Linked DNA regions of Canis lupus familiaris. The protein of the gene in region 1 interacts with the protein of each later gene in a pairwise test. Links are inferred from orthologs where the notes say so. Each region holds a gene or a part of one and is shown in the gene's direction. Other genes may lie near its edges.

Region 1 (7,184 bases):
ATGGAAAACTTGTATTCAGAATACACAAAGAATTCTATAACTCCATAATAAAAGAAAGCAAGACTCAAACGGATGCTTTACAAGAGAGAAATGGCCAATAAATAAGCACATGAAAGAGTTCTTGACCTCACTAATTATCAATGGAATGCAGATTTAAACCACAATGAGGTGACTAATTCCAGTTCTAGGTATTTTTACCCCAAATAAATTGAAAACCTGTGTCCATAAAAAGATCTGTACAAGAATGTTTATTGCAGCATTATATTAATGCAGGTCTCAAATTGGAAACATTCTAGGGGGTCCATCAACAGAATAAATACATGGTCTGGTCAGACACATTAGGGATAGTCATAGATTATACCATATATACTAGCAGTTGGATGAAGTGAACTAATGAATGCAGCAACATGGATGAATCTTTTTTTTTTTTAAGATTTTATTTAAGAAAAAAAATTTTAAGAGAATGAGCATAGGGGGAGGGGCGGTGAGAGGGATAGAGAGAGAATCTCAAGCTCAGTGCAGAGCCTAATATAGGGCTCAATCTCACAACCCTGAGATCGTGACCTTGAGCCAAAATCAAGAGTCAGACACTCAAACCAACTGAGTCACCTAGGCACCCCAACGTGGATGAATCTTAAAATACATGTTGAAAAGCCTAGACACACAAGCCTATACTGTATGATTCTGTTTATATAATACTTTAAATTAGGCAAAATCTAATCTATGATGATAGAAATTAAAGAACAGTGATTGCTTAGTTGTTGATTAACCAGAAAGGGGCATGAGTGAACTTTCTCTAATGATAGAGAATACTCTCTCCCTCTCTCTCTCTCTTTTTTTTTTAAGATTTTATTTTTTTAATTCATGAGAGACACGCAGAGGGAGCAGGAGGCTCCCTACGAGGAGCCCGATGTGGGACTTGATCCCAGGACCCCTGGATCCCGACCTGAGCCAAAGGGAGATGCTCAACCACTGAGCCACCCAGGTGCCCTGAGAATAGTCTGTGTCTTAATGGGATGTAGGTTACATGGGTTATGAATTGTCAAAACTGATCAAACTATATAACATAAAATCTTTTCTAAAAGATTCAGAATAGGGACACCTGAGTCCTGTATAATCAAGTTAGATTCTTATCCATACAAAAGTTTGGGTAGGGGAAAATGGAAAGGGTTAAAGGCAAGCTTCCTATAGTGGATACCTTGTTTTACTGAGACGGTTTTGATGATGACCTTATCTGGAAAACCGAAATGGGTATTTTATTTTCTAGTAGTCTGAGAAAGCTTGTTCAAGTGTAATTTACTGTCTGCTTAGAGAAACTTCGAAGACAGCAGGGATAAGCATACTTCCTGGAGCCAGCCTTCCCTTAGACCTAGACAAGGTGGCATCTGCCCCCACCCTCCCATCTTTGTATCCTTATTTGAGACTCCTGGATCCTTGCATCAAGAGCCCAGCCATCCTGTGAAGAAAAGTTGATCTTGTGGTATCCTCTGTGAATAACTTATTTGTTGCGTTTTTCTAAACCTTGTTTTGGTGGCATGACTAAGGAATTGGGCAAATGTAACCCTATGGGACTTTGAAGACTTGGAGTAAGGCTTTGGTAGGCCTATGTGCATTAGAGTGATGGCCAAGAGCCGGCTCCTTAACTGGAGACTATACTATTAAAGATGAGTCTTTGATGTCGTGTGTGTGTGTGTGTGTGTGTGTGTGTGTGTGTGTATAAGGGAGAGAGAGAGAAAGACATGATTGTCATGGAAATTTATTACTGACTCGTACATGAAGACAGCTGGTATCACACCTTTTTCTTCACCCTTTTAAATGTCAATATGTACTAAGAAAAATCTGAGAAATTTTAAGCTTCCCTTTGTCAGGAAATAGAACTTAGATATTTCTTCTTAGATATTGTATCACCAACTGCTTAATTGCCCACCCACAACAACAAGTAGTTACTGAACCTCTTATTTTATAGCCAAACAAGTACATACAACTTGGCCACACACAGTTGTGGGAGAGTGCTGATGAATCCTTAGCATACCCAGGTGAGCTTGCATTTCTGAGTGTTGTTAGAGCTAGACGTAGAAGATGTTTCTCACTTACACATAGCTCACTTTCCTGCATGCTCAGAAGGCTAGTTACCGTGACCATGATTATTAAACTTCAAGGACCAATGTCGCATGTCAGATGGGAACTAGGCATATGTGGGTAGAAATCACTATCCCTCTCTCTTGTGGTTGGGAGAATTAAGAGCAGAGATTCTTGGGTTCTTAAAATCCATCCTTGTGGGGGATCCCTGGGTGGCTCAGCGGTTTAACGCCTGCCTTTGGCCCAGGGTGCGATCCTGGAGTCTCAAGATTGAGTCCCACGTCGGGCTCCCGGCATGGAGCCTGCTTCTCCTTCCTCCTGTGTCTCTGCCTCTCTCTCTGAAAGGAAGGAAGGAAGGAAAGGAAAAAGGAAAGAAAGAAATAAGCAAACTAGCTAGCTTTAAAAAAAAAAAAAAATCCATCCTTGTAGTCATGTCATATAATTTGTTTTAGGCCTTAGAATACTCCCTGACCCTCTTGGGATTTCATAGATGTTTCTCCCCCCTTTCTTACCTTTCTCACTTGACATTAGTATCAGTCCTTGCTTGTGAATCTTGTTTCCATTCAATATGGTAGCAGAAATAATCTTCTGTCACTGTTGATTAGATTCAGTCTTTTCATACCCTTTTAAAAACACGTCATTGGCTTTAGAATAAATTTTTAGAACTTGTACCAAAAACTAATGTTTTGAGAAGAAAAAGTCTTCTCAGTAACATTGTTTCCCCTCAATCTAATCAAAAATACTCTTAAATGCAGAAGTTAGAAAATGGTGAATAATTACCACTGTTCCTGGAAGTCTTTGTGTTCCTTAGTAATTAATGTGTTGTGTCATCTTTGGTTCTGCTTCTTGACAGTCCATCAAACTGAATGGTTGTCTTGGATTTGTATTTAATGAAATTTAGTCCTAGCAGAAAACTGTTGGGTCACAGACTCTACAGCAGAGCATTGATGCTGATGTGGGGATGGGGATATTTATACCTTTGTATTGATAGAAGTCCATTTTGGGGACGTGCCATTTGGGCTTTTCCCAAGAACATAATCACTTTACAGAATGAAAGCCAGAGGCTGGCTTAGTAACTAGACAGGGGCCTGTTGTGCTTGACAGTGAAACGAGACTAACATGAGTTCTCACCAGGTTAGATACTCTAAAATTTCTCTTCAGTACTCTTCTTTTTCTACCTTGCTTATGCTCAGGTTCCTTTGGTTCAGAGCTCTGAGCTTGAATATTCAAAGTCTATTTTTACTCTACCATCCCTACACAATCTACATAGACCTTTGGGTTTGGGTCTTTGCAGGGTGAGAAAGACTGGCAGAAATATGAGACTGCTCGGCGACTGAAGAAGTGTGTGGATAAAATCCGGAACCAATATAGAGAAGACTGGAAGTCCAAAGAGATGAAAGTCCGGCAGAGAGCTGTAGCCCTATACTTCATAGACAAGGTGAGCATCTTCCTATCACATTGCCTAATACGTTGGGCTTACCAAATATGGGATTGTTTACATTTCCAGGCCTTGTGCTAAGTACTGGAGCAGTACCCATCTCTGGTCCAATAAGGAGGGTAGAAGTGGAGAGAGAGGCATTTGGAGTCTGCTGGTCTCTAAATCTGAATCTTCTGCAAATACTATGACATTTTCAAACTGAGTATAAGCCACCAAAAAAATTTTTATTTTACGTCATGACCCAACACACATAAATATATTTGTAGTTGTGTGTAACTGCAAAGCTGCACAAAACAGTGTTTAGCCTTTCTACAAGCAATGAATTCTGACATTTTAATTTTTTTCTTGTTTTTAAAAAGAATGGTTATAACCCTTAAAATTGGTTAAACAATCCATGAATGTTTCACAACTATACTTTGAAGGACCATGCTCTAGAGGAGATGAGTTTGTCACTACCTTTTTGAAGATTTTGGTTTCTTTCCCAATTTTGCACTGCTTAGCACAAAATCTAAATTATCTCAAAAATTAAGCAAAATTAGGAGACTACTGAGTCTATCACCCAGAATAGGAATACTCTCTTGTTTGCTGCTTTGTTGTTGTTGTTGTTTTTTTTTAATTTCTTCCTTTCCTCCATTCTTATTTGAGAGAACAGAGTAAAGAGAAGCTTGGTTTTATGAGAAAGGGTAATATCACTATGATTCTCTGTACTTCATTTTATAGAGGAAGGAGCATATAGAATCCAGAATTCCCAAGCCTTGCAGACTGATACTCTATCCCCAGAGTTAGGAGACTTCTGATTTGGATTTCCTAGAGATCGTAGAAAATTGAAGTTTTTTCATTTGCTCTCATTTCTCCCTACTTCCTGGACAGCTTGCTCTGAGAGCAGGCAATGAGAAGGAGGAAGGAGAAACAGCGGACACAGTGGGTTGCTGCTCGCTTCGTGTGGAGCATATCAATCTGCACCCAGAGTTGGATGGTCAGGAATACGTGGTAGAGTTTGACTTCCTTGGAAAAGATTCGATCAGATACTATAATAAAGTCCCTGTTGAGAAACGAGTAAGTTACTTTGGCCTGTGCACCCTGGCCTGTTTTTCCTTCATTTCTTTCGTTCGTTCGTTCGTTCATTCATTCATTCATTCATTCAGCAAGCATATATTGAGTGCTTTTTGTATGCTCTTCACTTGCTGAACACTAGGGAAATAGTTTGAAAGAGAGAGGAGAGGTATTGGTTGTCCTGTGTACCTCCTTTTAGTCCCTGTCCCTCACCTACCACCCCGTGCTACACCTTCCTGGGAATGAGGGCACCATGTCCTAAAGTAACAGTCAACAGTGCATGCTGTAGAGTGTTGGCCCTAGTGGCAAACTTTAGCATAAGATTTAACTCACCTTACTGTAATGATTCAACCACATTTCCATACCCCCGGTCTTGTTGCATATTTGTCATTTTTGTAACTTTGCTCAACCTCTCTCTGAACTCCTGACTGAGCCAAGCAATAGCCCTTTAGTCCTCAAATCTCTGAGCCCATACCCAAAGAGGGCACTGCAGCTCCATGTCCATCCGTCCCCCCCCCCCCCCCCAACTCTTGGGCTTGAACCTGTAATCTAGCCCTTTAAAAGTCTGATATTTAATCAGTCATTAGGCTTTGTTGGCTGTGGCAGTGGTCCATACTAAAGAAGTGCTAAAGAGACATGACAACTAAATGTAATACCTTAGATTGGATTCCATCCTGGAGAAGTAGAGGACATCATTAGGTCAGCTGACCAAATTGGAATATGAACAGTAGATTGAAGCATATATACATGCAAATTTATGAAGCTGATAAGTACTGTGTGAATGCAAGGGAGTATCTCTATCCTTAGGAAGTTCTTAGGAAATACACGGAGATATTTAAGGATAAAGGGCTCATAAATGATTCAGGACAAACAGTTGTGTGTCTACACACATGTATGTAGAGATGGAAGTGAGGCAGACATGTATTGTGCAATGGTGAATGTTGTATAAAACGTTAATGGTCAGTGAATCGGTAAAAGGATGTGGGTATGGGTATGCCTTATGCTTTTTTATTTTCTAAGTTTTTGTAAGTTTGTAATTATTTCCAAAGTAAAGGCTTTTTAAATAATAGGTTCTACTTATTTTCCTTTAGGTTTTTAAGAACTTACAGCTATTTATGGAGAACAAACAGCCTGAGGATGATCTTTTTGATAGACTCAATGTGAGTGGACAGATTGCACGGGTTGAAGGAGGGGCCCAGCCGGAGCCTCCTCACAAGCTCCTAAAGGAGAGGTTTGCCTGGGGGTGACTTGGACTACTATCCCTTCAGTTTGTCCTGTGGCATCCTATACACTGTTCCTTCTGCAGGCACACAGTGAATCCATGACCAAAGCCCTCAGACAGGTGGACAGACCCTACCTTTTATTCTCTTCTGGCTCTTGCAGAGTCGTCTTTTGGCTGGATACCCAGCCATCTCTGAGATTGAAGGCCTCTCCCTATATCTTATCAGGGAAGATCTTAATGGGGGAAGGACAAATTTGCTTTATTGTCCTGCTTAAGATTAACATACTTCATAGGGAGATATCACGCACCCTGTGTTTTGGAATTTTTTTCTAACTTCCCACTGGCAGGGCAATAAACTTGGCAAACTTGAGATTACACTGGTATAAATGTCCTAGGGCTTGCCAGAAGGGGCAGAGTGGTTTAGCTTTTGCATAAATCCCAATATCCTCTCTGTGCTTTGTCTCCTCCAGACTGGTATTCTAAATAAGCATCTTCAGGATCTTATGGAGGGCCTGACAGCCAAGGTGTTCCGTACATACAATGCCTCCATCACGCTACAGCAGCAGCTAAAAGAACTCACAGCCCGTAAGTACTTGTTGGCCAGACAGGCTTGCACACTTCCTGGTATGTCCATTGCCCTTGCTGAGCTAAGTCCTAGAGCTTTTCTGCTATTCTCCTTAATTTTTATCACTGGAAACTTTTCCTTCTATACCTCTAATAGAGAGCCAAGGCCTAGTTGTATAAACATAAAATCAGTGTAGTTTCCCCCTTCCTACCCCAAGTTCAAGATTTATTTTCGTGGAATGCTGACAGGAGCTTTCTGAAAGTACCTACATTTGATGGTTTATATGTATGTTTTTTGAAAACTCACAGAGTGAAGACATAGTGCTATGATGCTTGGTTAAATTGGAGAGAATAAGGTTTTCATGGTTATTTTTTAAACCAGGAGCACATCCTTCCCCTGAGGTTTCTGTCACCCCCCCCCCTTAAAATAGTAGGTAGTATTTTCCTAAAAACTAGGTGCAGAAGGTACAACCAAGATACACAAGCTTTTTTTCCCTAGAGCCCAGTCACTGCTAAATTCTACCTATCCTCTAAAAGTACATCAAATAGCTTTAGAATATAAGACTAAAAATCCAAAGAGGATGTTTTGAGGGCCAGTATATTAGGGTGGGATAAAGGGTGCTATGTGACATAAGTAAAATATTCCTCATGCTTTTAATCTTTCTGTGTAAAACACATACTGCCTTTTGGTTTTAAAATATAAAGCTTGTGATCCTTTTGTCTTACCCTCCTCTACAGACCTTTTCTGTCCCAATTCCACATTTTCTTCAGGCTACATTGAGTGGGGGAAACAGCCTTTGAGACAAGCAGATGACTCTTGACTCTCAG
Region 2 (7,184 bases), on another chromosome or scaffold:
GGCCTGGGCGCTGTGGGGTTTTGAGCAGCCTCCCCGGTCACCTTGGGTCTGGGGTCTCCCTGACCCTACAGGATTATAGCTGCTGACGTGTGGGGCTGTGTTTGGCTTCTGGCACATTCTCCAGGGGACGGGGGACCCCGGACATGGGCACACCCTTCCAGGCTTTGCTCCTGCGGCTCCTTCATTCTGCATTCCCGCTGGCTTCGTACGAGGGATCTGATTCCTCCACCACCTTGTTTTTAAAAAATTTACCCCACTGTCCTGCTTCAAGTCCGGAGGTGGCGCTGGTCATGTGTCCAGGACCTGACTCAGGCTGGCGTTTCTGGTCCTGTGACGTCCAGGCCCAGGGGTGCGGAGAGCTCCGGGGATCCCAGGGCAGAGGCCTCCAGAGGGGCCGGTGGCCTTGGGCACTGGGGTCCTGGCCTGGGGGCGTCCCGCCGGGAAGGAAGCGGGCCTGCTGGATAGACCCGTGTCCTGGTGGCCGGTGGGTGGGGTCGCCGCCGGCTGGTCTGGCAGATAAGGGTCTTTGCCAGGTCCTATCTGCGGGGCACAGCGACAGGTGCCGGTTCTGGAAGGCTCCGGCTGGGCCGGGGGGCGGGGGCTGGAGCGGCGCCTGCCAGCTGCGTCCGCTGGTCCTAGTGTCCTGTCCCCTTAGGTTTCTCTACTCGGATGAGGTTCAGATCGGACCCGAGACCGTCATGACCACGCTGTACACCGCCAAGAAGTACGCGGTGCCCGCGCTCGAGGCCCACTGCGTGGAGTTCCTGAAGAAGAACCTCCGGGCTGACAACGCGTTCATGCTGCTCACGCAGGTGCGGGCAGCGGGGGGGGGGGGGGTCCGGGGGGGATTAGGGGTGCGTGGGGCGGGGGGAGGCAGGAGTTCGGGAGGTTGTGGGGCGCGGGTGCACGGGGGTGGGGGACACGAGGCCGGCTGAGGATGCGCGTGTGCAGGGCAAGGACACAGGTGCGTGGGCTCCGGCGAGGGGGGGGATGAGGGGGCGCAGGGCGGGGGCGGAGGGGGCAGGTAGGGACGCGGTGCGCAGGGCTACGTGAGGAAGCAGAGGAAGCGGGTGTGCGGGCGCTTCAGGGCGCGATGCTCTGAGAACGCAGGTGCGGGGGGGGGGGGGGGCGAGGAGGGACCCAGAGACCAGAGGCAAGCGGGGCAGGTGAGGATGCTGGGACCGTGCAAATGTGGGGGGCGGGGACGGGAGCCAGAGGCCCCCGAGGGGGGTGGGGGGTTCGGGGAGTGGGTCTCCGTTTAACATCCCTTAGATTCTGCAGCCGAGCGCCTGCCCCCGCGGCGCGCTGACCCGGGCCTTCCAGCAGGCGCCTGGTTTCCCGCAGGCATTTGGAGGCCCCTCTTCAGGGTCCCGGGTGGGAGAAAGGGTTTTCTCATTTCATCATTCGGTTCCTTTGAGGTCGCTTTCAGGCCCCGTGGCGCCGGGGGTTGGGGTGGGGTTGGCGTGGGGTTGGCGAGGCCTCGGGGGCACAGGCGGGCAGGGGACAGGCCCGCCGGGGCAGGGGGGCTGTCCCGGGGCGGCCCCCGCACTGTCTCCAGACGCGTGGGTCGTCCGGTCGTCCAGGTTGCTCTGCGGCGCTGAGCCAGGCCTGTCGGGAGGCCCGGAGCTGCCCCGGCAGCCAGGCCGGGGGTGGACGTGAGCGGCCGTAGGGTTGTGCTGGGCAGGAGCTGGAATCTTCCCCGCCGCCCCGCCCGCCCCCCATCCTGTGCGCAGGTTCCCGATGGAGCCGTCTCCGGCGGTCAGGGCTGCACTGCGTCCTGTCCCCGGGCTTCCTGCCCCCTGGGGCCTGTCCTGTCGGCCTCGGCCGGTCCCGGGGCTGCTCAGTCTGGGCACCGTGGCCCCCGCGGGACTTGAACTCCATGGCAGGTTTGAGCCAGAGGGCGTCTGGGGCCCCCGCCCGGGCAGCGTGTTGACGTGCTCCCCCTCGCCAGGCACGACTCTTCGACGAACCGCAGCTGGCCAGCCTGTGCCTGGAAAACATCGACAAGAACACCGCCGACGCCATCACTGCCGAGGGCTTCACGGACATCGACCTGGGTGAGGCCCCGGGGCAGGTTTGGGCGGGGGGTGGCGCCCGCCGAGGGCGCGCGGGGCGCTGAGGTGTCCCCTCCCGCAGACACGCTGGTGGCCGTGCTGGAGCGGGACACCCTGGGCATTCGCGAGGTGCGCCTGTTCAGCGCCGTCGTGCGCTGGTCCGAGGCCGAGTGCCAGCGGCAGCAGCTGCCCGTGACGCCCGAGAACAAGCGCAAGGTGCTGGGCAAGGCGCTCGCCCTCATCCGCTTCCCGCTCATGACCATCGAGGAGTTTGCCGCAGGTAACGGTCAGGGGGCGGGGGCCGCTCGGCAGGAGCACGGCCCCCGGGGGCCCCAGGTGTGACTCGGTCACGGCGCTCCGGCGGCCGCCCGAGCCAGCTGCGGGACACAGGTGTGCCCGTTTGCCGAGGACGCGCCCGCCGCGCTCACGTGGACGGCTGGCAGCCCGTCGGTGTGAACACAGAACAGCCCACCGCCGCCCCCGATGGGCGTCTGGGTTTCCTCCCCTCCACGTCTCGAGTGTCCCTGTGTGTGCGCCCACTGAGGGCCCCATCTCGGGTTTGCGTCCTGGGGACGGGCCTGCAAGGGGTGGGAGGGGGCTGGCGAGGGGGTGCCCGGCCGGGCTTCCTGCCCCGTGTGGACGCAGTGCTGGCAGCGGTGCCTGACTTGGAGCCGTCCCCCACCCGGGGCTGGAGGGTCCGGGACGAGGCCCCGTGTCAGCCTGGTGGCCGGTGCAGACCTAGGGTCTCGTGTCTCCGTGCGCCCCGCTTCCCTGCTCGGCGTTGCCAGATTTAGCAACGACGGTAACTAGCTGTTTAGCGCGAGGATCTGCCGTGTGGGACGCACTGACCCTGCAGATGAGTCCTCTGACCTGAAGCTCAGGCTTCCAGGTCCCGCGTCGTAGCTGGCCTCCGCACGTCACGTCAGCGTGGGGGCAGAGCTGCGTCCGTTCCGGGATCTCCCGTGCACCTAACACTTAGCGAGGCCGTGTGTGGGCCAGGCCCCGGCTGTACGCGGTGACCTCGGTGGCCTCGGTGGCCTGGTTGTTGGGGGCGGGGCGCTGTCCTGGGCTGGGAGCAGCGTTGTGAAGAGGTGGCCCCAGATACGGCTCAGAGGGCCCGAGGGCACCAGGGTGCCGGAGACAGAGCTGCCCTGTCCCATCCCAACACCCCTGGGAGCCCTGCGGGGCCCCCGTCTCCAGCCTGGCTTGCACCCCAAAACCGCTCTCGGGGGTCCGCCTGCCCACCTGGCTGCCGAGCCCCCGGGGCCCCAAGCGCTACAGGTGCCGTCCGCTCGCCCTTGGCGTGGGGCCTGTCCTGTAAGGCCCCCAGGCCGCAGCGTCCCCCTGCTCTGCCCAGGTCCCCGGGAATGGCACTGCGTGTGTCCTCGGGGCCGGGCTGGGCCTTCTGGGCCTGTGCTCCGCGGAGGGCGCCCACGGGGCCTTGGCCCTCGTCACTCGGCCCGTCTTAGAGGCGCCCCTGCTGCTGTGTCCCGCTGGAAACACGACACTAGAGAAGCTCGCAGACTCCGCCGAGGCCGCGCTCCCGTGTACTTTCCTCCTGCATTTCCAATGCAGAGATTAAAAAGAACCATGGTTACCGCGCTGCGTTCCACGTTGTATCTTCCTTGCTCTCCGTGGGGCTGGCCCCTGGCCCGGCCGCCGTGTCCGCGCGCGGTGCTGTCACCAGCCTGCAGACCCGCTCCCCGACCCCCTCGGCCCCGCCCCGTCTCGGGGAGCCCGGGCGGGGCGGCCGGTGCTGAGCCGGGCTGGCGCTTGCTGGGGGCCCCGCGTCTCCGCGTGCGCGGCCGCCCCGCCGGCGCCGACCTCCGCCCCCTGTGCCCGCAGGGCCCGCGCAGTCGGGCATCCTCGTGGACCGCGAGGTGGTCAGCCTCTTCCTGCACTTCACCGTCAACCCCAAGCCGCGCGTCGACTTCATCGACCGGCCGCGCTGCTGCCTCCGCGGGAAGGAGTGCAGCATCAACCGCTTCCAGCAGGTGGAGAGCCGCTGGGGCTACAGCGGCACCAGCGACCGCATCAGGTGGGCCGGCGCGCCGGTGGGGGCCGTGGGGCCGCGGGGCCGGCCGCGGCTCAGCGCCCCCTCTGTCCGCCGCCCAGGTTCTCGGTCAACAAGCGCATCTTCGTGGTTGGCTTTGGGCTCTACGGCTCCATCCACGGGCCCACGGACTACCAAGTGAACATCCAGGTGCGCGCCCCCCCCGCCCCCCCCGCGGGCCTCCGTGGGGTCGGGGGCTGGTGAGCAGCGCCTGCTCCCCCCACAGATCATCCACACGGACAGCAACACCGTCCTGGGCCAGAACGACACGGGCTTCAGCTGTGACGGCTCCGCCAGCACCTTCCGCGTCATGTTCAAGGAGCCGGTGGAGGTGCTGCCCAACGTCAACTACACGGCCTGCGCCACGCTCAAGGTGCCCACCCCGACCCCAGAGCCTAGCGGGCCGCCGACGCCAGCTCTGCTGCCTCCTGGGGCCACGGGGGGCGGGGGGCCCTGGGAGGGGCTGTGCGGCTCGCCGCCGCTGGGGCCCTGGTGCCTGACCGCAGGACCCCCCACCAGGGCCCAGACTCCCACTACGGCACCAAGGGCCTGCGCAAGGTGACGCACGAGTCCCCCACGACGGGGGCCAAGACGTGCTTCACGTTCTGCTACGCGGCCGGAAACAACAACGGCACGTCCGTGGAGGACGGCCAGATCCCCGAGGTCATCTTCTACACCTAGGCCACCCGGCCCGAAGCCACCTGATGCAAGTAGGCCGCCCCCACCCACGCCGCGCCCCCGCGGTCCCCATGCTGTGTGCGCTCCCCGCCGCGGTCCCGGGCGTCAGGAGAGGGTCTCTGCTCCGTGCGGCGAGCCTGGCCGCCTGCTGAGGAGCCGGCAGGGGCTGCGAGGCGGTCCCTCAGGACTCGGGGGGCAGGGCTGGCCTGGACCCGGCCCGAGCTGAGGGTCCGCGGGGCCCCTGGGGAGGCAGTGCTGCCCGCCGCCCGCCTGGCCACAGGATTGATCGATTCCGCGTCACGTTCTCTCACCGCACACGGCAATGCACCCTGGATTCCCATTCCCTGGTAGGCGGGCTGTGGGGGCGCCCCTAGTGCGTTTGCTTGGGGTCTCGTGTTCTGGTCCATTCAGTGGGGACGCTGAGGCCACGCTGACCCTGGCCCCCGGCACACTGGCCGAAGCCCCCCAACCCCGAGGTCCCGCAGGCTGGCTTTGTGCCAGGCCCAGGCCCACCCGGTGGGCCCCGTGAGCCGCGGGCGTGGACCTCAGGCCCTGTCTGCCCGGCCGGGCAGTGCCGGGGGTCAGCCACGGTGGCCAGGTCCCCGCCTGCCCCCTGTACATACTGCAGCCCTGCCCCACCCGGCCTCTGAGTGAGCACTGTGGCCAGAGGTGCTGGAGGGCGCAGCCCCTCCCCCGTCCCCCCACCCGTGTTTCCACCCCAGTGATCCTCCTGGAAATTCCTCCCCAAAGCCATGGAAGGTGTGCCCTCCTCACACCATACCCTCAAAGGATTTTTTTAAATAAAGGAAAGAAACATAACCACGCTGAGTGCTTTTTCCTGTCGGAGGCAATGGGGCAGGACCGTGGCAGCTGAGACCTGGCTCTTCGCTCTGCAGCCGTTTCTCCCACCTTAAGATTAGGGGGCCCAGGAAGGGCCTGTGACTTCCGCCTGGGTCTAGAATCCGGCTCCTGACAGACGTCCCAGCCTCGGGGCACCCAGAGCCCTTGGGGGCTCTCCCCATGCCCTGTCCTCTGCACAAACTTCTGGTCTGCCCATCACACCCCTGCTGTCCAGCAAGGGGGGCCCCCAGGGAAGGCTCTGCTGCAGCGCGCCGCACCCACACCTTGCTGGCTCTGCCCTCTGGCCCTGGGACCGCGCCTGGCACACAGGAGCTCCCTAGGCTGTGCCTGTGCAACGAGGGTAACCTGACCCAGGCCCCCCACCTGGCTCCGCCCTGCGCGTCAGGGAGTTCCTGACAACAGGCATAGAACAGGGCCTGACAGCTAAAAATCTACCCAAATGAATAAAGACATCAATCAGCACATTTAAAAATCTCAATGACCCAAAGTGAGATAAATTTAAAAATATTTTTAGAAATTAGGGCAGCCCGGGTGGCTCAGGGTTTAGCGCCTGCCTTCAGCCCAGGCCATGATCCTGGAGACCCAGGATCGAGTCCCGCATCGGGCTCCCTGCATGGAGCCTGCTTCCCCCTCTGCCTGTGTCTCTGCTCCTCTCTCTCTCTGTCTCTTATGAATAAATAAAACCTTTAAAACAGTATTTTTAGAAATTAAAAAATAAAAATTCACATATGCTCAAACTGCTAAGAAATGGGAAAAAATCTGAAAAACAGGAGAGGAGCACCTGGATGGCTCAGTTGGTTAAGCATCCTGGTTTCAGCTCTGGCCATGATCTTGGGGTCATGAGATCGAGTCCTGCGTTGGGGTCTCCACTCAGTGTGGAGCCTGCTGGAGACTCTCCCCCTCTGCCCCTCCCCTAACTGGTTAGTGTACACGCTCTTTCTCGCTCGAAATAAATAAATTTCTTAAAAAAAAAAAAACTACACCACACTACAATTCTGTGCCCTTCAAAAATGAAAATAAATGCAATGGAAGTTAAAAAACACCAAGACAGGACCAAAACACCACGTCAGCTGTTACACACAGATCTAAACACCCCAATTAAAAGACTGTCATACTGGATACAAAACCAAAACAAAACTACTTCCTAATTATAAGAGTCTCATTTTAATTACAAAGAAACAGAAAAACTGAAGATAAAAGATGGTAAGTTTCACTACACAAACACTACCCTTATGAGAAAGTCGGTGGGCCGGCGTCTGTATCCGGCAAAGGCGACTTTATTTTTTTAATATTTTATTTATTCATTTATGATGGACATGGGGGGGCGGGGAGACAGAGGCGGAAGGAGAAGCAGGCTCCATGCTGGTAGCCCGAGGTGGGACTTGATCCCGGGGCTCCAGGATCACGCCCCAGGCCAAAGGCAGGCGCTAAACCGCTGAGCCACCCGGGGATCCCCCAAAGGCGACTTTAAAGCAGTGAGTGCCACTGGAGGTTAAGGACGACATCTCACAGCCATGAGCGGTTCTATTTGACAGGAA
Region 3 (7,922 bases), on another chromosome or scaffold:
CATTGACATTTCCATTCTGTTCATACATCATTTTCTTGGTCTCTTCCATATTTTCCTTAAATTCTCTGAGCAACTGTCAGACAGTTATTTTAGGGGCACCTGGGTGGCTCAGTGGGTTATCATAATACCAGGGTCCTGGCATGGAGCCCCAACATTGGCATGGGCATTGGCATTGGGGAGCCTGCTTCTCCCTCTCCCTCTGCCCCTCCCTCTACTTGTGGTCCCTGTCAAATAAATAAAATCTTAAAAAAAGTGGGGGGGACAGTTATTTTAAAGTTTGCCTTGTATATCTGCTGATGAAGTTTTGGAATATAGGTGAAGTCTGGAGCTGATGGCCAAGAATTCTTGAGACGTCTTTGGTGCAAAATGGTGGCTTTATTAAAGCACAGGGACAGGATCTATGGACAGACAGATCAATCAAGAGTTGCCACCCCAGGTCTATGAGGGGTGATTGATTATATACCTGGAAGTTGGGAGGGTTTTGGGGATAGCGTACTAAGGAATTTTGGAAGCAAGTTTTCCAGGACCTTGAGGAGGTTAGCTATTGTTGGGGGAAAGGTCACTTATTACTGGCTAATAAGACCTGAGTCATGAGACCCTTCAGATGTGTATCGGGGTGCGCTATGTGCTTGGGGGATGATCACCAACACATATCCTGGTGGGTAGAGATAAAGGAAATTTCTAAAGGAATTTTTATATGTTAAAGTAGACTTACAGGCTCCTGGGGGTTGGGCTAAGATTGCCTTCTGCCCTTAGCAGAGTATGAACATCGAGGCAGTTGAGTCCGTTGAGGGATGTCCCTTGCCTAAATTGTCAAGGAATTGTCAATGTGCTGCCCCGTGCTGCCCCAAGCTAAATAAAGCCTTGTCCTCAGCTTGCCCTGTGTTCCCCTATCATCTGCCACTAGATCTTCTTCAAGGACTGTTTCTGCTTATTTTTTCCCTTTGAATGGACCATACTTTCCTGTTTCTTTGTATGCCTTGCAACTTTTTGTTGAACATGGGACATTTAAATCTAGTAATATGGTAACTCTGGAAATCAGATTCTCCTGCTTCCCTGGGGTTTGCTGCTTTTTTGTTATTGTTTTGTTTTTTTTTATTGCTGTAGGATTATTTTCTCTATGCCAAGGATCAGCCTGAGGTGTAAATTTAAGGTCTTCACTCAGCCTTTCCTTGGGTATGGATGATCATTTTCTAATTTGCCCCAATATGCAGCTTTTTTTAAAAAAAATATTTTATTTATTTATTCACAAGAGACACAGAGGAGAGGCAGAGACATAAACAGAGGGAGAGGCGGGCTCCCGGCATGGAGCCCAATGTGGGACTTGATCCCGGGACCAGGGGACCACAATCACACCCTGAGCCAAAAACAGATGCTCAACTGCTGAGCCACCCAAGCGTCTGCAGTTGTTTTTCTATTGCAGTAGTTTTTAATGTCTGACTCCCAAAAGGGGAAAACGTAAGAAAATGGAGGGTGAATTGGGTGCTGGTCCTTTAAATACAGTGGAAGTCATTTCTGCTGAAGGAAGGAAGTGCTTGCAACAAAGGAAGAAATGCAAAGACCTGCTGCCTGCCTCTTTGGATTGTGATTGCAAGCAAGAATCCACGCCCAGAGCCCGGATATTCTGAGAACAGGTTCCTTTTGCCCACTGTGGCTCCTCCAGACGGTGTGCTTGGTGCTCCATGAACATGGGTGCAGCTGCCTGCCTTCCATGTGGCTGGGGATGAGGGATGGGTAGCTGCTTCTGTGCAAAGATCTGAAATTGACAGAAATTGACAGTGACGTACTGTCCAAATCTTCCCCTAGAAGTTACTGCTTTCAACAGGCTCCAGGCCTCCAAAATAGCCCCACCACACAGATCCCGCCAGCAGCTGCTATCTAGGAGGGGAGCTAGATTCCCGGGTGCTTCCTCCTCTGCCACCTTCCCAGAATCCTCTACTTCATTTAATTTTTACTATTTCCAGTTGCGCAGAAAGAGTGGCTTGGGCTATACTTTAGCCTTGAACTCAGCTTTCGTTGCATTCCGCAAGTTTTGAAACGCCGTGTCCTCAGATTTCCTGCGATTAAATTATGATCATTGCTCAGTACTAGATAATATAGCCTCTATTTTTGCTCTGGTACACTTGAGTGGTTGTGGGTTTTTTTGTTGTTGTTGTTTTGTTTTTAGATTTAAGATACTGTTAATTTTTAGCAATGGATTATAAGACATTTTAAAAAAGATTCCATGAGTCCACAGTGATACAGAGACAACAGAGAGGAAGAATGGGGGCTGCTGAGCAGAGAGGAGTCCAAGCTCTGCTACCCTGCGGAGGAGGGGACATTATAAGGGAAGGGGGGGGAAATCCTGTCGTCCCCTCCCCCGTGCTCCTGTGGCCAAGTCCTCGGCGCCCCCGCCCGTTTGCAGGCGGGGAAAGTCCTGGAGGGACAGCCTAGGGACCTGCCCCTGGGACACGTGGGAGGCACTGCAGCTGATGAGGGCAGGCTGTGGGTCGGGGTGCGCAGGGGCGTGCACAGGGCCTCGGGAACCCCCGCCCACCGCTCAGGGCTTCGAGCTTCGGGGGCTCGGCTCCGGCGGTCGCGCGCGCGCCGGGCAGCCGTGGGCGGGGCGGAGCGGAGCGGGGCGGGGCCAGAGAGGCGCGCGCCGGGCAGCCGTGGGCGGGGCGGGGCGGGGCAGCCGTGGGCGGGGCGGGGCGGGGCGGGGCGGGGCGCGGCCGCCGGAAGCGCCTTTCCCGGAAGGCACCCAGGCGGCGCCGGCCTCCGGGGCGGCCTCGGTGATGGCTGCTGGGCGGCGGGAGCTCTCTGCCTAGCCCGAGTTGCCGCGCCGCTGGAGGATGGCCTCGCTCGGGCCGGCCGCTGCGGGCGAGCAGGTCCCGGGGGCCGAGGCGGAACCGGGCGCCGCGGGGCCTCCGCCGCCGCCGCCGCCGCCGCCGTCCTCTCTGGGGCCCCTGCTCCCCCTGCAGCGGGAGCCGCTGTACAACTGGCAGGCGACCAAGGCGTCGCTGAAGGAGCGCTTCGCCTTCCTCTTCAACTCGGAGCTGCTGAGCGATGTGCGCTTCGTGCTGGGCAAGGGCCGCGGCGCGGCGGCGGCCGGGGGCCCGCAGCGCATCCCCGCGCACCGCTTCGTGCTGGCGGCCGGCAGCGCCGTCTTCGACGCCATGTTCAACGGCGGCATGGCCACCACGTCGGCCGAGATCGAGCTGCCCGACGTGGAGCCCGCCGCCTTCCTGGCGCTGCTGAGGTGAGCGGCCCCCCGCGGCCCTCTCCCGCGGGTCCGGGCCTCAGTTTCCTCCCGGCGGCCGGGCACCGTCCCGTGTCCGCGTCCGCTGGGCGAGCGCCCTCCTGGTCGGGTCCGGCCCCCGACTGTCGCCGACCTTCGGGATCGGAGCACCGGTGGGCTGCGGTGTGGACCAGCTTGTCCCGAGGGCCCATTCGCCAAGTTTTACTTGTCCTTTTCTTGGGGACCGGCGGGGGGTGGGGGTCGGGGAGCGGAGAACTCTCGTAGGACCCATTTTTTGCGTTATAAATTCCGACTCCTTTTTCGTTAGCCTCTGCCTCGGTTGTCAGGACCCAGGGAGGCAGGACCAAAACAGGTAGGTGTGGCCTTTCTGCAGACAAGGTCACATCTGCTTAAAAACAAACCCAGCCGCCAGTGTTGAGGAGTTTGCTTTTGGCTCATCGGAGAATGCTACACGGGCTTCTGATTCATTCTAGTTCACGGAAGGGAGCTAATCGTTTGGCATTATTAGCTTGCATTCACAGAAGTCCGGTTGGGGAAGTGTAGGTATTGTTTTTTTATACTTCCCCATTTGGGATTGGGGTCCAGAAAAGTCAAGCGACTGGCCAAGGTAACAGCAGCCTCGGAAGGAAGACCGTGAGTGCTTCATTCCATCTAGAGGGTGCCTGACAACAGTGTCTTCCTAAACTAGCAGAGTCTTGGGTGGTGCTGAGCCAAAAAAACAGGTCGTGAACAGATACCTAGTCCGTCCACAGCTCGATCAGGAAGATTAGTGGGAAACAATACAAAGATAAAAGAAGTAGAAAAGGAATACTAAAGTCCCATAAGGGATCCCTGGGTGGCGCAGCGGTTTGGCGCCTGCCTTTGGCCCAGGGCGCGATCCTGGAGACCCGGGATCGAATCCCACGTCGGGCTCCTGGTGCATGGAGCCTGCTTCTCCCTCTGCCTATGTCTCTGCCTCTCTCTCTCTCTCTCTCTCTGTGACTACCATAAATAAATAAAAAATATTAAAAAAAAAAGTTTAAAGTCCCATAAAAAGTGGGCAAAAGGCAGGGTAGATAACTCACTTAAAGAAAAGATAGAGCTGGGCAGCCCGGGTGGCTCAGCGGTTTAGCGGCCCAGGGCTTGATCCTGGAGACCCTGGATCGAGTCGCACGTCGGGCTCCCTGCATGGAGCTTGCTTCTCCCTCTGCCTGTGTCTCTGCCTCTCTCTCTGTGTCTCATGAATAAAAAAAAAAAAGATACAGCCGATTAACAAAGAATGTTTAACCTCAGTGAGTAAAGAAATAGAAATTAAAAGCAAACCCTTTCCTCCCAGTATTTTAAAGATAATATTGGAAAAGCTAAGATAATATTGGAAAAGCCTTCTCTGATAAAGGTGGTGGCAGAACAGTTTGGCACTATAGATGCCCTGCCTCCCCCCCCCCCCCCCCCCCCCCCCCCCCCGTGTTCAGGTACTGAAAAAAATGTGTATAAAAATATTTACAGCTGGGTTATTTATAGTAGTAAGGAAGCAGTTAGCTGGAGGGAATGGTTAGATAAACAATGATAGTACTTTAGATGCAGTATAATGCTACTGAGCAGGAGACTGATGAGGACGAGGTAATATTAACATGGGAAATGTGTATAATAGCCCTGGAAACTGTGCTGTGGATAAAATTGTGAAGAGTAAGGGAACAAACATATACCTAGAGATGTGGATAGGAGAAAGTATACCAAAATGCTAACCAGAGCTTTATTGGAGTGGTGAGATGATACTGCCTTTTTCTTCCTCTTTTCTCTTTGTTTCCCATAATCTATGCAATTTAGTTAAATTACATTTATAAAGAGAGAGGGAAAAAAAAGGCTCAAAAGCTAGGATCGAGGTCATTCTCATTTTGGTTTGAGGTCATTGACAGGAGGATTGGTTATAGCTTGTTTAGATTTTCTAGACTGTATTTTAAAGCGATTGTTGGTGTACCTGCATTGTAATATCCTTGAGTGCTTGTTAAATTTATAGATCCCTTCCTCCCTCTTTGAAATATTGTAATGTTTGGAGATGGGACCTTGAGAGCGTTTTTAATACTCTCTGTAAATACTAGTACCGACTAAATATGAGAGCCACTGATCTAAAAATACTGTCCAGTTTTTTCCTTTAAAATTAGGGATTGGGGGATCCCTGGGTGGCACAGCGGTTTGGCGCCTGCCTTTGGCCCAGAGCGCGATCCTGGAGACCCGGGATCGAATCCCACGTCGGGCTCCCAGTGCATGGAGCCTGCTTCTCCCTCTGCCTATGTCTCTGCCTCTCTCTCTCTCTGTGACTATCATAAATAAATTTAAAAAAATTAAAAAAAAATAAAATTAGGGATTGGGGACACCAGGTTGTGATCTCTGGGTCCTGGGATCAAGCCCTACATGGGGCTCCCTGCTCGGGGGGAGGGGGGGGACTGCTTCTCCCTCTGCCTCCCACTTGTGCTCTCTCGCTCACTGTCTCTCAAAAAAAAAATCTTAAAAAAAATAAAAACAGATTGGTAGAATAAGAATGCAGAGGGAAAAATGCTTAGTAGATATTTTTACTGAAGCTGTTAATCAGTCAATGCTTTCTATCAATAGAAAATAAGTAGGTTAATTTTAAAGTCTTTGAAATTTTTCTATGTTCAGTGTGGTCATTGTATTTGTCCTTCCTCAGATTCCAGTCATTGTTCTGTTCTGAAATGATATCTGGACTGATTGTTACATGATATCTGGACCAAAAGGTATTGGTGGCCGGGAAAGCATAGATGCTGTCCTTACTTATTCTTGTGTGACAAACAGATGTCTCATAGTTAGTACTTGCTGAGTGGGGAAAACTGGTTAGCTTGGGCCTATTTTCATTATGTTTACAAATCGAGTCAGTTAGCGTTATAAAAAAATGCTTGTTTTGATCTGCCTGACCTTAAAGTGATGTTCTTCAGTTCATTTGAGAAACACCGTGCATGCCTTCCTTGTGCCAGCCACTGTTTTAGATGTTGGATACAGCAGTGAAGAAGAAAAAGTCCCTGCCCTCATGTAGTTTAAAATCTAGTAAGGAAAAACAAAGATATAATGTCAAGTATTGATAAGTATTTTATTTATTTATTTATTTTTATTTATTTTAAAAAAGATTTTATTTACTGATTCATGAGAGACACAGAGAGAGGCAGAGACACAGCAGAGGGAGAAGCAGGCTCCCTGTGGGGATCCCGATGTGGGACTCAATCCCAGGACCCCGGGATCTTGACCTGAATCAAAGGCAGATGGTCAACCTCTGAGCCACTCAGGTGTCTCTGATAAGTATTTTAAAGAAAAATGATCACGCTGTGAGGGAAGGAGCATTCTCACCAAGGCAAAGCGTGTCTAAGGTCCTTAATTTCTCCTGTTGAATGAACTGCAAGAGTAAAGCAGTGTGATTTGAGCAGAATGAATAAGGGGGGAAGTGGTGGAAGAGGTCAGAAAGACAGGCTGGACAAGGTTGTACAGGGCTGGATAGCCTGTGGAGAGACTGATATATGGTGGGAAGCATTTGGAAAGTTTTCAGTGGGGAGGTGATAGGATCTGATTTACATTTTTAAAAACTCATTCTGGCAGTTTGGAGATTAGACTGCAGAGGAAGTAAAAGGAGGAGCAGCAAGTTGAATTAACAGGCTTTTGCAGTAGTCCAGGCAAGAAAAATGATAGTGGGTTATATATACCAGAATGGGAGTGACTGGGATAAAAGGTGATCACATTGTGAATATATGATTGACCTTTGAACGACATGAGTTTGAACCACATGGGCACACATACATGTGGATTTTTTCCAACAAGTACAGTACAGTAAATATTTTCCTTTATGATTTTCTTAATAACATTTTCTTTTTTCTAGCTCACTCAATTGTAAGAATACAGTATATAATAATACAACATACAAAATAATGTATTAATTGACTATGTTATCAGTATGTCTTCTGGTCAACAGTAGGCTATTAGTAAAGTTTTTGGGGAGTCAAAAGTTATATGCAGGTTTTCACCTTTGTGGAGGGAGGGGGATAGGGAGTGGAGGCCATGTCCCTAATCCCTGTGCTATTCAAAGGTCAACTGTATTTTGTAAAGGTAGAACCAAGATGTCTAAGATGTTCAAGGAGGGCTGTAGAGTACAGCCATAAATATGAACCCGGAGTTTAGGGAAGAGAACATAGATTTGAGAGCTAAAAGTGGATGATTTTTAAAGCATGAGACCAAATGAGATTATCTGGGGAGGGAATGCAGATTGTGAACAGAGGCACCAGGATGAGCCCTGGGGGCCTCCACCAAGGGGAGATGTAGAAGGGGAACAGAATAAAATGAGACTGAGACACAGCTGGCAGTGCAATTAATAGAAGCAAGGAGACTGGGATCTTGAAAGTCAAGGTGAAGAAAGTGTTTCAACCGAGGGGGAGCTGTCAGCTGTGTTAAATGCTGCTGAGAGTTGGGTGAAATGAGGCTATTGGTAACCCTGGCAAGAGTGGCAAATGGATTGGAGTAGATTGGGGATGGAATAGGACGTGAGGCGGGGAGGGGGGGGGGGGCAGCTAGTGTAAACAATCATCTCTGCAGCAGATGTATTGCAGAAAGGAAGAGAAATGGAGTGGTGGCTGGAAGGGACATGATTAACTGTTCCTCAGGATTCTGTCTTCAGCTGCCTTCTTCCTTTCTCCTATTAACTCATGGC

The links.
Region 2: the proteins of TOP1 (region 1) and BTBD2 interact in a two-hybrid assay, tested with the Homo sapiens proteins (2 studies listed by BioGRID). The link is inferred for Canis lupus familiaris from reciprocal best matches to the Homo sapiens genes TOP1 and BTBD2.
Region 3: the proteins of TOP1 (region 1) and BTBD1 interact in a two-hybrid assay, tested with the Homo sapiens proteins (2 studies listed by BioGRID). The link is inferred for Canis lupus familiaris from reciprocal best matches to the Homo sapiens genes TOP1 and BTBD1.

Annotation. Positions count from the first base shown.
Region 1 is NC_049245.1:29,728,525-29,735,708, forward strand, and holds part of TOP1 (DNA topoisomerase 1), read left to right. Parts: intron 1-1,740; exon of another isoform or gene 1,741-2,417; intron 2,418-2,591; exon of another isoform or gene 2,592-2,702; intron 2,703-3,373; coding exon 3,374-3,517; intron 3,518-4,387; coding exon 4,388-4,573; intron 4,574-5,661; coding exon 5,662-5,730; intron 5,731-6,262; coding exon 6,263-6,377; intron 6,378-7,184. UniProt on the Homo sapiens protein: Releases the supercoiling and torsional tension of DNA introduced during the DNA replication and transcription by transiently cleaving and rejoining one strand of the DNA duplex.
Region 2 is NC_049241.1:57,472,587-57,479,770, forward strand, and holds the end of BTBD2 (BTB/POZ domain-containing protein 2), read left to right. Parts: intron 1-655; coding exon 656-812; intron 813-1,951; coding exon 1,952-2,057; intron 2,058-2,136; coding exon 2,137-2,334; intron 2,335-3,899; coding exon 3,900-4,092; intron 4,093-4,169; coding exon 4,170-4,257; intron 4,258-4,333; coding exon 4,334-4,480; intron 4,481-4,626; coding exon 4,627-4,788; 3' UTR 4,789-5,604; downstream 5,605-7,184.
Region 3 is NC_049224.1:55,321,218-55,329,139, reverse strand, and holds the start of BTBD1 (BTB/POZ domain-containing protein 1), read left to right. Parts: upstream 1-2,749; 5' UTR 2,750-2,831; coding exon 2,832-3,238; intron 3,239-7,922.